Linked DNA regions of Rattus norvegicus. The protein of the gene in region 1 purifies or fractionates together with the protein of each later gene. This does not show direct contact. Links are inferred from orthologs where the notes say so. Each region holds a gene or a part of one and is shown in the gene's direction. Other genes may lie near its edges. The genes, in order: Ticam1, Ripk1 and Tlr4.

Region 1 (4,253 bases):
TTCCAGGACCTCACAGCCAGTGTTCTTGCCCAAACTCGAGAGCACATAGCCAGAGCCCGAGATGCCCTTGAGCACACTGTGGAGTATGTGGCCCAGAACACTCCAGCCATGTGGCTGGTGGGCCCCTTTGCTCCTGGAATCACTGAGAAAGCCCCTGAAGAGAAGTAGGGAGAAGGACCAGGGCCAACACCTATCTGACTTGACTGCTTTTCCCAACAGTCCTGTTGCACAGCAGGTCTTCCCCTACTCTGAGTCTGAATGAGACGTGTTTAACCTTTTCCCATCAGTCTTTTTAAAGCAAAAATATTTTTTCTAGAATCTAGAATGTTCTGGAAAAAATTGTTTTCCTGAAAAAATGAGGATGATGAATAGTGATAGCACAAGCCTGTCATCCTGGGCCAGCCCTGTGGTGTAGAAGCAGGAGGGTCAGTTCAAAGCCTGACTGCCACATAGCAAATTCAATGATAGCCTAGACTACGTAAGACCTTGTCTTGAAGTAAATCAGGCATAGTGACATTCCACTCCAGTTTCTTTCCTGCATTCATGGCCCAGAATAGCAAGAGCTTTTCTGACAGACCCTGATACCTGGTCCAAGAATCCAGCAACTGTGACAGGATGGAGAACTGGAGTGTTGCAGTCGTTTCAGATGAGAAAGTGAGAGCTGAGAATCCACTGTCCCTTAGATAATGCCTTAATAAATTTTACCTGCTTCAGAGACCAGACGGGTGCTGTGTGTTCCCTTCCTAGCAGCTGAGCTACCCTGATACCTGGAGGGGCCTTCTTCCTTATATCTCTGCTTTATGCATAGTGCAAGTCTTCCCACCTTGAGTGTTAGAAATGACCATGTGGGAACAGCAGCAAGAGCCTGCTGCCTGCTTTCCCTCCTCCCTGTGAGATACGGAGAAGAACTAGTGTGACAAGCTGAACCTGCCAGACTTTCAATGTCTGTCCCCCTTGACCTCAAGGTCATCCCAACTCAGAGGGTGGGAACAAGAAGATCAGGAGTTCAAGGTCATCCTTGGCTACTTAGTAAGTTTGAAATTAACCTGGGCCACACTGACACTGTGTCTCAAAACAGAAAAACCCAGGGCAGGAGAGATGGCTCCAGTGGTAAAGTGCTTAGAGTTCTTGGCTTTGGGGTGGAAGCCAAGAAAACTCACTTCAGAGACAAAGCTTAAAAATAAAAGCTTTGGGGTTGGGGATTTAGCTCAGTGGTAGAGCGCTTGCCTAGCAAGCGCAAGGCCCTGGGTTCGGTCCCCAGCTCCGAAATAAATAAATAAATAAATAAATAAATAAATAAATAAATAAATAAATAAATGCAAGCTTTATTTTCTGCACTGGCAGGTAGGTGGCCAATTTGGGATCTGATTCCCAAAGAGACTACGCAGACCTTTTTATAGGAATGGGAACACAAAGCGAGGGGGAGCCGGCTGGGCTGTTAGAAAGAAGTTAATGTGGATGACTGGACTTAATCCTGGTCACCTGGTTTCAGGGCCCTTGAGTCAGCTTTTACAACCAGGTCCCTTCCTGGACTCTGGCCTGGACTCTAGTGATAAAGGACAAAGGAGTGGTGAGCAGATGTAGCCGGTTAAGACGGGAACACATGTATGACTTGTGTCTTGGTTTAGACAACAGGATAGGCATCTCCCTCTTCGTGTCCTTTACTGGGTAACAAACACGAAATATCTAAAAAGCAAGTTGGATTCTGGGGCCTGGGAACATGGAGATGGAGGATGATGGAACTTGCTCCTGAGATGACTGGACTCAGGCAGCTGTCTCCTAATGATGTGACCAAGAGAAAACATTGGATGTTAACCTCCACAAAGATGTACACATGTAAACACAAAAATGGAGAGGCCATTCTGATACCTGATTGTGTTCAGTGATGCAAGGCAGATACTCCTGACTAGAATCCCCAGCAAGAGGGTAGGGGTAGCTCATTTGTGCAGCCACCTCCCAGTCACAGTCCTCTGTAAATAGCTGCTTTTCTGTTTTCAGAATTTAGCTTCACCAATTTTTATTTATTTATTATATTTAAGTACACTGTAGTTGTCTTAGACACACCGAAAGAGGGTGCACACCAGAAGAGGGCATCATTTACAACTACAGATGGCTGTGAGCCACCATGTGGCTGGTGAGATTTGAACTCAGGACCTCTGGAAGGGCAGTCAGTGCTCTTAACCACTGAGCCATCTCTCCAGCCTAGCTTCCTTAGTTTTAAAACATGCCTGTAATTTCACCACCTAGCTGAGAAATACTCACAACTAAACAGTTGTATAAGATCTTTTGGCCTCCAGCACTTCTGTTCACTTATCTTGTATTAATTTATTTTTGAGATGGAGCTCTCTCTGTGTTGGTCAGGCTTTCTTCGAACTTGGGGCAATCCACCTGCCTCAGTTTCCTGTGTGCTGCTGGACTGATAAGAGTGAGTCACCAGGCTCCCTGTGAACTTAGCCACGTGGTACTTTGCGAAACCCCAGAGTATGTCACTAGCTGAGCTCTGTGGCTGCCAGCTTAACATTCTCTAGGGGTGGAGGGTTCCTTCCTTCTTCCGCAGCTCTGGCCCCACAGAGTGCAAGCCCTGCCTAGTTCCACGTGGCGCCAGGGCACTGGGCCGGAGGGCAGGGCCTGGCTCAGCTAGATGATGTGATTACAGGCGAGACTGCTGACTTCATCCTCTCCTCCCCACAAGACCCGGAAGGGAGGAAGGGGTGGAACCGAACTCTCCCTCCTCCTCCAGCAGCTACCAGGGACCTCGAAATCTACCAGCTCAGGACCCCCACAGCCAGGTAGGATGAAGGCAGAGGGGACAGCACGGCAGGCACAGGGTCAGGAGTGAGTGCTGGGCTGCCACCTGCAGGCCCTCAGGTTGCTCAAGCCCTTTCCCTTGGACACTCAGATCTGCAATCCAACTCCTGACCCCAACCCAGCCCTGTGATCTTGGGTTCTCTCCAGCCCCTAGTACTCCCAGATGCCTAGATCTTCTAACTAGAGGTCTCCTCCAGCCCCAACAGCGAGCGAACCCCCATCCCTCTTCACCCTCAATGCCTCCCCTTGCTTTCTCTACCTCAGTGTCCTCTGTCAAAACCCCTGCCCCAGACTAACACAGGCACCAGCTGCCACCTGTAAGGACTGGCCTGCTGCAGCTTCTGCAGTCTGCTCTGTTCCTGGCCCAACACAGGCCCCTGGACCATTCTAAGGAGAAGGCCAGGGAAGAAAGAGAGAGAGGCCTATTTACATCCCATCCACCCACAAACCCAGCCATCCGCTCACCCAGCCACCCACCAGTCCTGGTTTATGCTGCTCTGGGGATACCACACAGGGTCTTAGGCATGCTGGATGAGCACTCTCCCTACTGAGCATACCTCCTACCTCTCTCCGCTTCCTTCACTCTGTCTCTCTCCCTTCCTTCCTCCCCCCCCCTCTTTCCCTCTCCCTTTCCTTTCCTCTCTTTCTTAAAAATAAGTGCTTTTATTTTTTGTCACTTGTGTTATCTTGAGACAGGGTGTATCACTATGCAGACCAGGCTGGTCTGGAACTCATTTGGACTGACCCTGATCTCTCGGCTCAAGAAATCCTCATGTTGTTGGGCAGTGGTGGCACACACCTTTGATCCCAGCACTCAGGAAGCAGAAGAGGGTCAATCTCTGAGTCTGAGGCCAGCCTGGTCTACAGAGTGAGGTCCAGGACAGCCTGGGCTACACGGAGAAACCCTGTCTTGAAAAACAAAAAACACAAACAAGAAAGAAGAAAAAAATCCTTCTGTCTCAGCTTTTCAAGTAGCTTGGACAAGAGGAAAATGCCACCCTTACATGGTAGACGCAGGAGGATCAGAAGTTTAAGGTTATGCTGGGCTACATAGTGCAAGGCCCAATCCTGTCTCAGTGACAAGAAACAAGCAAATAAAACACAACTACTCTGTTCACTGCTTAATTATGTCAATAAACATTTATCTCTCCTGTCTATGTCTCTTTCTCCTTTCCCATCTCTCTGTGCTGCCTTCCTCTCTTTTCTGGCTGGGGGCTGAACATGGTCTCATGTATGACAGGCAAGTACTCTGTCAACTCAACTGTATCTCCAGACCTCGGTATGCACTTACTAGGCACTAGCTGTGTACCAGGCACTGTCCTGTTCATGTTGTTCAAGACAGAGTTCAGTATGTAGCCCTGGCTGTCCTAGAACTCTGTAGACCAGAGAGGCCTCAACTCAGAGATCCTCCTGCCTCTGCTGAGTGCTGGGATTAAAGGTGTGCA
Region 2 (4,113 bases), on another chromosome or scaffold:
ACATTCCTGGAGTTGAAGACAGACACGCTCTTGCAGTTTACTGGGCAGACTGCTTAGTCCACTCCACAAGCTAAAGTCAAAAGTAAGACAATGTATGGAAAAGAAAAAGGTGAATTGTAAGGAGCTTCTGGAGGTGGGCTTCTGGCCTCCACATTATGTGCAGTTTTACACACACACACACACACACACACACACACACACACACACCACACGCACTCCACCCCCAAAATAACTCAAAACAAACAAAAAACCCAACTTAAGTACATGTGTTTATACAGTAGATGTATGTTTATTTGGGTACATACCTGTATGTGAAACTACTAAATCATATAGTAACCATAAAGGTTTTGCATTATTTGCAAGAATATAAGCGATTTTCAGTTATTGTATGTCTTCATTAACATCTGTGAATGTTTGGGATTTGGAGGCTTTTTATGTGTATTTGACATCAAATTTGAGTTCCCCTAGTGTCCTAGGACCTTGAGCATCTTCTTTTTTTTTTTTTTCAGAGCTGGGGACCGAACCCAGGGCCTTGCGCTTGCTAGACAAGTGTTCTACCACTGAGCTAAATCCCCAACCCCCTTGAGCATCTTCTTAATGCTTATTTTCATGGTATCTGGTAAAATGGCTGTTAAGTTTCTTAAAGTGGTGGTCGTGTGTAGGGTTTAGGAAGTCTCCTTAATCGTATCTTTTGTGATCCTCTCCCTCTCTTGACCTATTTTTTTTTCTTTGACAATAAGTGATCGTTGTATTACCGTGCAACTTCTTTCTTAATGACACCTGTAGTAACACTTATTTTTTTTTTTTGCTTGGGATTTCAATTACCACTTTAGAGAGCTACAAATTAATCACGTTTCTTCCTCGACAGCCTGCCGTGACAGATAAATGATAATTTGCCAGGGGTTCTGTCACCGCTGAACCCACAAAGCTTGCAAACGCCACTGTCGCACGCAGTGCTTGAAGCGGCCAAGCGGTCTCTGCCCTGACATACAGCGGTTATGACCGCCTCTTTTTTTTTTTTTTTAAGGGATCTCTCATAACTAGTTGTAAGGCAAAGCAAAACTACCATTCATTTTCCTAGCTGATTTCCGGGATCATCGCGCTGCAAACCTGGCTTTCTCGGTAGAGCTCAATGCCCAGCTTGGGAGGCTGGCGCTCGCCCGGGCACACCGCCCCGGGGCGTGAGCAGAGGCGGAGACAAGGGCGGTCGCAGCCTAGCACCACCCCAGTAGACCTTAGACGCGTAGGAGCGGCCCCCAGAGCGGCCTCCGGAGCGCGGGTATCGGTGCCGCTCACCTCCCGTGAGTCCAGCCGCTGTGCGAACCGGCTGAGGAGCGAGGTGGACGCGGTGGGAGGCGGTGAGGAGCCTGGGCGTGGCTGGACGCCACTTCAGCACCTAGCTCCGTCCGGTCCTAGTCAGGGCCCAGGTTCATCCCCGCCCGGCAGCCACAGCGAGGAGCAGCTCCTGACGTCCACCGCCCGTCCTTCCTCACCTGGGCCGGAGTACTTGGCCGCGGAAAAGCCTCTAAGGTAAGTCAGAGCCGGGGCCCGGGCCGCCGCTAGTTTCCTCAACAGCTGGATTCCCGGAAGGGGCGGGGGCCGAGCGATTTCTGCGCGTGGACCGGAGGGCGGGGCTCGTTGTTTCCGGAAACCGGGTGATGGGCGGGACTTCAAGCGTACCCGGAAATCGGAAAGCGCGGGACTTGCTGTCATCTAGCGGGAGGGTGGACACTTGAGGTAGTTTTAGCTCAAGTCGCGACAGAGAAGGTGGACATCTGCGCCGCGACCACGGTTACAGATCTCTCTTATTATTATTATTATTATTATTATTATTATTATTATTATTATTATTTTGGTAGGGATGACGGCTTATTGAAGCGTTAGTGCCCAAACTAGGTTACCTAAATGTAATCTATCAACCCTGGACCTACCAACTCTTTAAAAGGGTCTATTACTGTTGTACTTGGGGCAGTAGAAGGTTGCAAAGCAGTCAGTAGCTTTCATCTTTATCTTTGAGGCGAGCTGAAAAAGGAGTGATCCACAACCTCGACGAGAGACTAGTATCAAACATCCAAGGCTTCTCTGGTCCTCAGTAGCATTTGCTTTTGTATTGCTGCAGACACTCTCTGAATTGTGAAAAAGATAGGCCGCATTCTCCTCACCTAAACATTGGACAGAGTCTTCTGAGATTGGATGGTGCAGTCCAGGGTGACTCATTCATTGTCTCTTGCAGATCATTTGATTTCCTTGCTCTTTTATTTTGTGAAGCTGTTTTAAGAAATGCCACAAAAGACCTTCGGAAAGGTATTCTTAACACATGAAGACTCAGTGGCAGAGTGAACTTTGGGATGGAATGACTTAGTCGTGTAATTTTGTAACCACTGGAAAGGCCTGTTAGAAAGGTGAACCATCACAGCTGCATTGTATACAGAAATATACTAGCCTTATTTTAAGTAAAATTCGGGATGTTTTGTTTGTGTTACTGACAAAACAGTAGTAACAATTCTTAACTTTAATTTTCATTTTTCTCTTTCTTTGCTATTTTGCACATGATATTGAGCTTTCAGGATTGTATTAAGAAATATGTCCAAGGTAACAACTTACAAATTGGGCACTGTAGAAGTAATATTACTTCTTAGTGTGTGACTCCTTAATATCTTCAGTAGGATCTGGAAATTGAATCAAAAATAGTTTCCCAGGGTTGGGGATTTAGCTCAGTGGTAGAGTGCTTGCCTAGGAAGCACAAGGCCCTGGGTTCGGTCCCCAGCTCTGAAAAAAAGAACCAAAAAAAAAAAAAAAATAGCTTCCCACACTTTGGTTGGATATTATTCTGGCAGATGTATCTTATTATATAGACATGGATATAATACTTATTTTTTAAAAACATAGTTTTCCTAAGTTTTTAAAATTTAGTCAGTACACCCCCATATTTTTTAATGTAGAATATTAATTTAATCTGGGTAAGTCTGTATGATTTTGTTTGTTTGTTTATTGTTTTCGAGACAGAGTGTCTTTGTGTAGCCCTTACTATCCTGAAGCCAGTTACATAGAAGACCAGGCTGGCCTTGAATTCCCAGAGATCCACCTGCCTCAGCCTTCCTGGTATTTGGCTTGAAGGCTTGTGTCACTAAGCATAACTTTGTCTCAGACTCGAATCCTCAGAATACACAGCCATTGAGTTAAGGTGTAATTCTTTCAGAACGTAATTTTGTTATGAATGTAATTTGTGTTTATTATAGGAAATGTAATAAAAAATGTAAAGAGCCAGGAATGGTAATTACAGCTGTAATTCCAACACTGAAGCAAGAGGATCACAAATCTCAAGCCAGCCTAGGCACACACAAGACACTGACTTAACAAAAGTATACAGAAGAAAGGAACAATTTGCCTTACAATGTAAAATCAATGTTAGTGAATTTTTGGTGTCTTTCTCTATATTGTTTTTTTATTGCCATATAATCCATTTTATAGTTTATGATCTGTTTTATTATATCCTTTATTATTTAACAACTAAATAGTTCTTCTTTTAGAATTTTTTTACCACTTAACAATTGTTTACCATGTGTTTGGCTCTTCCAGGCACTGAGGACAAACAGGTTTTTTGGTTTTGATTGGTTTTGTTGGTGGTGGTGGTTTTGTTGTTGGTGGTGGTTTTGTTTTGTTTTTTGCCTCTGTACAGTTCATTAGGAACGATTTTAAAATAACTATTTGAGGAGAGACGTGCGAGCTCTGTAAACATCTCATAATAGGAAGACTTAAGATTGGAACCCAGGAAATGAGAGTACTCAGACCAGAAACTTCTAGTCTTCCTGACTAGGGGTTTAAAAGAATGTGGCTGGAGAGGGAGGGGTATATCTGAGATGAGGAAGACTGGGCAGGACTTCTTGCCCCAGAAAATGTATAGGAAAGGAGGAATTGGGCCTGGAACACCTAGTAATATTAACACCTTCTGTCTCCACACTAGTCCATTCTCAGTCTCATAGATTGTCTGTAGGGACCTGCTGGGTAGTCTCAATTCAGTCTTTAAGTGCTAATTTAACATGTAAGCAAGTAGGACTCTGGAGCTGTTTTCCACTTCATTTCCTTGGGGATGGCAGAGCCCCCATGGACAGC
Region 3 (3,650 bases), on another chromosome or scaffold:
ATATTTATCATTCATTCATCAAAAAATGTCTACTGAGCACAGAGAGGTCACTATCCCCCTTTCTGAGCCTCGAAAACAAAATAGCAAACAAAAATCATCAGAGCATCAAAGCTCATGGTTCATTTCATCAAATGAAAGGCATTTGGAAAATATTGTATAGACTATAGATTTGCCTGGCCATCAAAACCTGTGAAGGGAATAAAAGAAGGTAAGAGAAGAGTTTCTGACTGGTGACTTACTCTATTAGATTCATTGTCTTCAAGGATCCTATGATGAGTACTATCTTAGGGTTTCTATTCCTGCACAAACATCATGACCAAGAAGCAAGCTGGGGAGGAAAGAGTTTGTTCAGCTTACACTTCCACATTGATGTTAATCACCCAAGGAACTCAGGACAGGAACTCTGGCAGGTTAGGAAGCAGGAGCTGATGCAGAGGCTAGGGAGTGATATTACTTACTGCCTTGTTTCCCCTGGCTTGTTCTGCTTGCTCTCTTAGAAAACCCAGGACTACCAGCACAGGAATGGTACTACCCACAATGCTCTAGGTCCTTTTTTCTTGATCACCTTGATCACTAGTTGAGAAAATGCCTTAGAGCTGGATCCCATGAAGGCATTTCCTCAAGGGAGGCTCCTTTGACTGTTGTAACTCCAACTTGTGTCAAGTTGACCCACAAAACCAGCCAGTACAAATACAATTTAAGTAGACATGTACGAAGGATCCTGAATATATACAAATTCTTTGACTGTATGTGTATTACCCCATCTTTTTATTTTCTTCGTTTTTAAAGGATTTTTTGAAGATTAGTATAAAATACATAAGATGTAAGTAAATGCTAATATGTAGCAAAAAGTCAATAGTAGCCAATGTTAATTAACATTAATATTTATCACTTTAATTAATGCAAGCTTTGAGATAAGCTCTGATCTCATTTAGCCCTTTGAGAATTCCATTGCTTTTAAATAAAAGAAAACAAAACTCACTGGGTTAAACAAAGCATTTGCTGGATGAAATCATATAGTTATGACATCACATGGAATGCATTGCATAGAATTCACAATGAATGTGAGAAAACAGATAAAAATAGGCGGAGACTCTGATAGAGAACACACTCGACCTTGAGTACTATTTTCCACCACTGGAATCCATGCACTCAAAGACTGCCTCTGATCCCAGTACCAAACTGGGAAAGTCAATGAGCCTAAGAACCAAAAGCAATTGTCAAAAATAGGTCAGTAGCTAGGACATGTCTGTACATTTTTATTAGTATTCTCCATGTGGCTATATATAATGAAGATAATTAGTTAGAATGGCAATAATTTTACATAAAACTCTGTACAAACCTACATGTATTTTACATAAAACTAGTGAGGTTCATAGAAAATATTATAAAAAAAAACTAACCATCACACAAACAAACAAAGCTTTGTCCCACACTCAGTATTCCTTAGTTCTTTATATAGGGTTAAGGACTCCTGTATAGATAGGGTCATGGACTCTGTCCATGGTAGCATGTCTAGTTGTTGTCTTTTTTCAACTCAAGTTAGGCAGTCATGTTAGTAAGACTTTGTGGGTGTAGCTTTTGACATTAGGAAACACAGTATCACAGTAAAGTTCCTGACCTTTTGACCCTCATATTCTTTCAGCTTCTTCTGCTGCAATGATCCCTGATCTGTAGATATGGGAGTTGTGTTGTACATGTACTTGGCTCCAGATTCCTGAATTTTCATTGGCTGTGATTTCTGTAATGATCTTTGTTTATAGTGTGGGAGAAATCATCTTCCCCAGAGAAGAGTCCAGCAGTTGGTTACTAAATACCAACCGGTCATTGCTGAAAACATATATATAAGTAATATTACGCAAGCCGACCAGGTAGTACTTATATAATACAGGCATATATATATATATATATATATATATATATATATGTATATACACACACACACAAACACACATACACTTACACATAAACATATACATTAATGAAAAAAAGATACCATGGATTTGAAAAAGAGCAAAGAAAAGGGAATAAGAACTTGAAGAGAGGAAAAGGAAAGGGGAAATGATATAATTATAATTTCAAAGAACAATAATATAAAAGATGTACTTTGTACCAAGTGACACAGAACACATGTGATAAAACCAAGGTTTTCAGACTTGACGGTCATTTAACACCTGATTTCACTGTTCTTCATTTAATTATAATTTTGTTGGAGCAGAATGTTAACACGTTGAGAATGCAAGGAACATTTTTTCTTCCTGATATGTAGAATAAGATGTTTTATAAACATGAAGAGGTAGGTAAATGAATGGAGAAGGATGGATATGAGGCCATATCCCAGAAATGCCAGTGCTTGTGTGGTAGAGGCAATTAGATAGGAAGTTCAATGTTATCTTTGACTGTATAGCTAATTTAAAAGAAGACTGGGCTATCTGAAAGCTTGTTTAAAAACAAAATAAATCACGAAGAATGGATGGATAGGTGGATGGTATATTGATTAGCATGTATATGGGAGTTTTACCATCTCATTATTCATCTTTGGAGAGGAGTGGGAACACATACAGTCGAAAAGAATAACATTTTGTGTGATTTTTTACAGGTACTTCCTAATATTACCTACCAATGCATGGATCAGAATCTCAGCAAAATCCCTCATGACATCCCTTATTCAACCAAGAACCTAGATCTGAGCTTCAACCCCCTGAAGATCTTAAGAAGCTATAGCTTCTCCAATTTCTCACAACTTCAGTGGCTGGATTTATCCAGGTAATGAATGAGTTTTATTTGCTGCAGACTGTGAAGTAGTTATTTCTATATCACTGCATTTTTGGCTCAGAAGACCTAGATGTTTCTAAGTAAATTTCCTTTACTCATCTATTCAGTAGACTTAGTCCTTGCTGTAAATCCTTGGGACAGTTACTTTTATTTACCTGGTTTCTATTTGGTAGGCAGCTAAATAAGAATATCAAAGGGCAGTTCTAACTTCTATATTATTTTAAACTATTTCATTAGGTATTTATGGATCACATATTATATGATATACATCTAAGCTACAGAACAAAAATTTATAGATACAAAACCCATACTCCTAATTATTAAGCAGGATAAAAATCTTCTTTAATAAGTTAAAGTCATGTCCTGGTTAATGGACACATAGCACAAATCAAACGAATGTTAACCAAACTAATACTGTAGTTTACAACAAACGTAAGTAATAAAATATGGGAAAATATGGGCAACACAATTTGTCCTTTAGAAGAAGAGCTGTTTTTTTTATGTGTGTGAGAGGATCAGAAAAGATTTTGGTATGTGAGTAGGTTTGCAAGATACCTGAAATATTTAAAATAGAAAAGAGGGTAGAGAATAAGAAAAGCAATACCTTCAGAAAAAGATGCCAATATCCAAGCAATACATCTACTGTGGGCAAGAAATAGTTGCTATAGTACCCAGTCTTAAAGAGTATATTTTTATCAAGCCTTCCCCTCAGGGCTCAGATGACTCCAATAAGCAGTGTCCCCCAGACACAACAGGACTGATGCACATATTCACAGAGACTGGCAGCATGCTCAGGGCCTGCACTGGTTCAAGTGTGGGGAAGAAAAGCAAATATGGTTTCCATCTGTAACCAGGAAGTTATCTACAATTGGTAC

Evidence for each region.
Region 2: the proteins of Ticam1 (region 1) and Ripk1 purify together in Homo sapiens (affinity purification with western blotting; 4 studies listed by BioGRID). This does not show direct contact. The link is inferred for Rattus norvegicus from reciprocal best matches to the Homo sapiens genes TICAM1 and RIPK1.
Region 3: the proteins of Ticam1 (region 1) and Tlr4 purify together in Homo sapiens (affinity purification with western blotting; 3 studies listed by BioGRID). This does not show direct contact. The link is inferred for Rattus norvegicus from reciprocal best matches to the Homo sapiens genes TICAM1 and TLR4.

What each region holds. Positions count from the first base shown.
Region 1 is NC_086027.1:1,194,803-1,199,055, reverse strand, and holds the start of Ticam1 (TIR domain-containing adapter molecule 1), read left to right. Parts: upstream 1-1,325; 5' UTR 1,326-2,789; intron 2,790-4,253. Other genes in the region: Plin3 (perilipin-3), read left to right, coding at 1-168.
Region 2 is NC_086035.1:31,074,283-31,078,395, reverse strand, and holds the start of Ripk1 (receptor-interacting serine/threonine-protein kinase 1), read left to right. Parts: upstream 1-1,228; 5' UTR 1,229-1,530; exon of another isoform or gene 1,531-1,585; intron 1,586-2,233; exon of another isoform or gene 2,234-2,402; intron 2,403-4,113. UniProt on the Homo sapiens protein: Serine-threonine kinase which is a key regulator of TNF-mediated apoptosis, necroptosis and inflammatory pathways.
Region 3 is NC_086023.1:85,164,213-85,167,862, forward strand, and holds part of Tlr4 (toll-like receptor 4 precursor), read left to right. Parts: intron 1-2,599; coding exon 2,600-2,766; intron 2,767-3,650.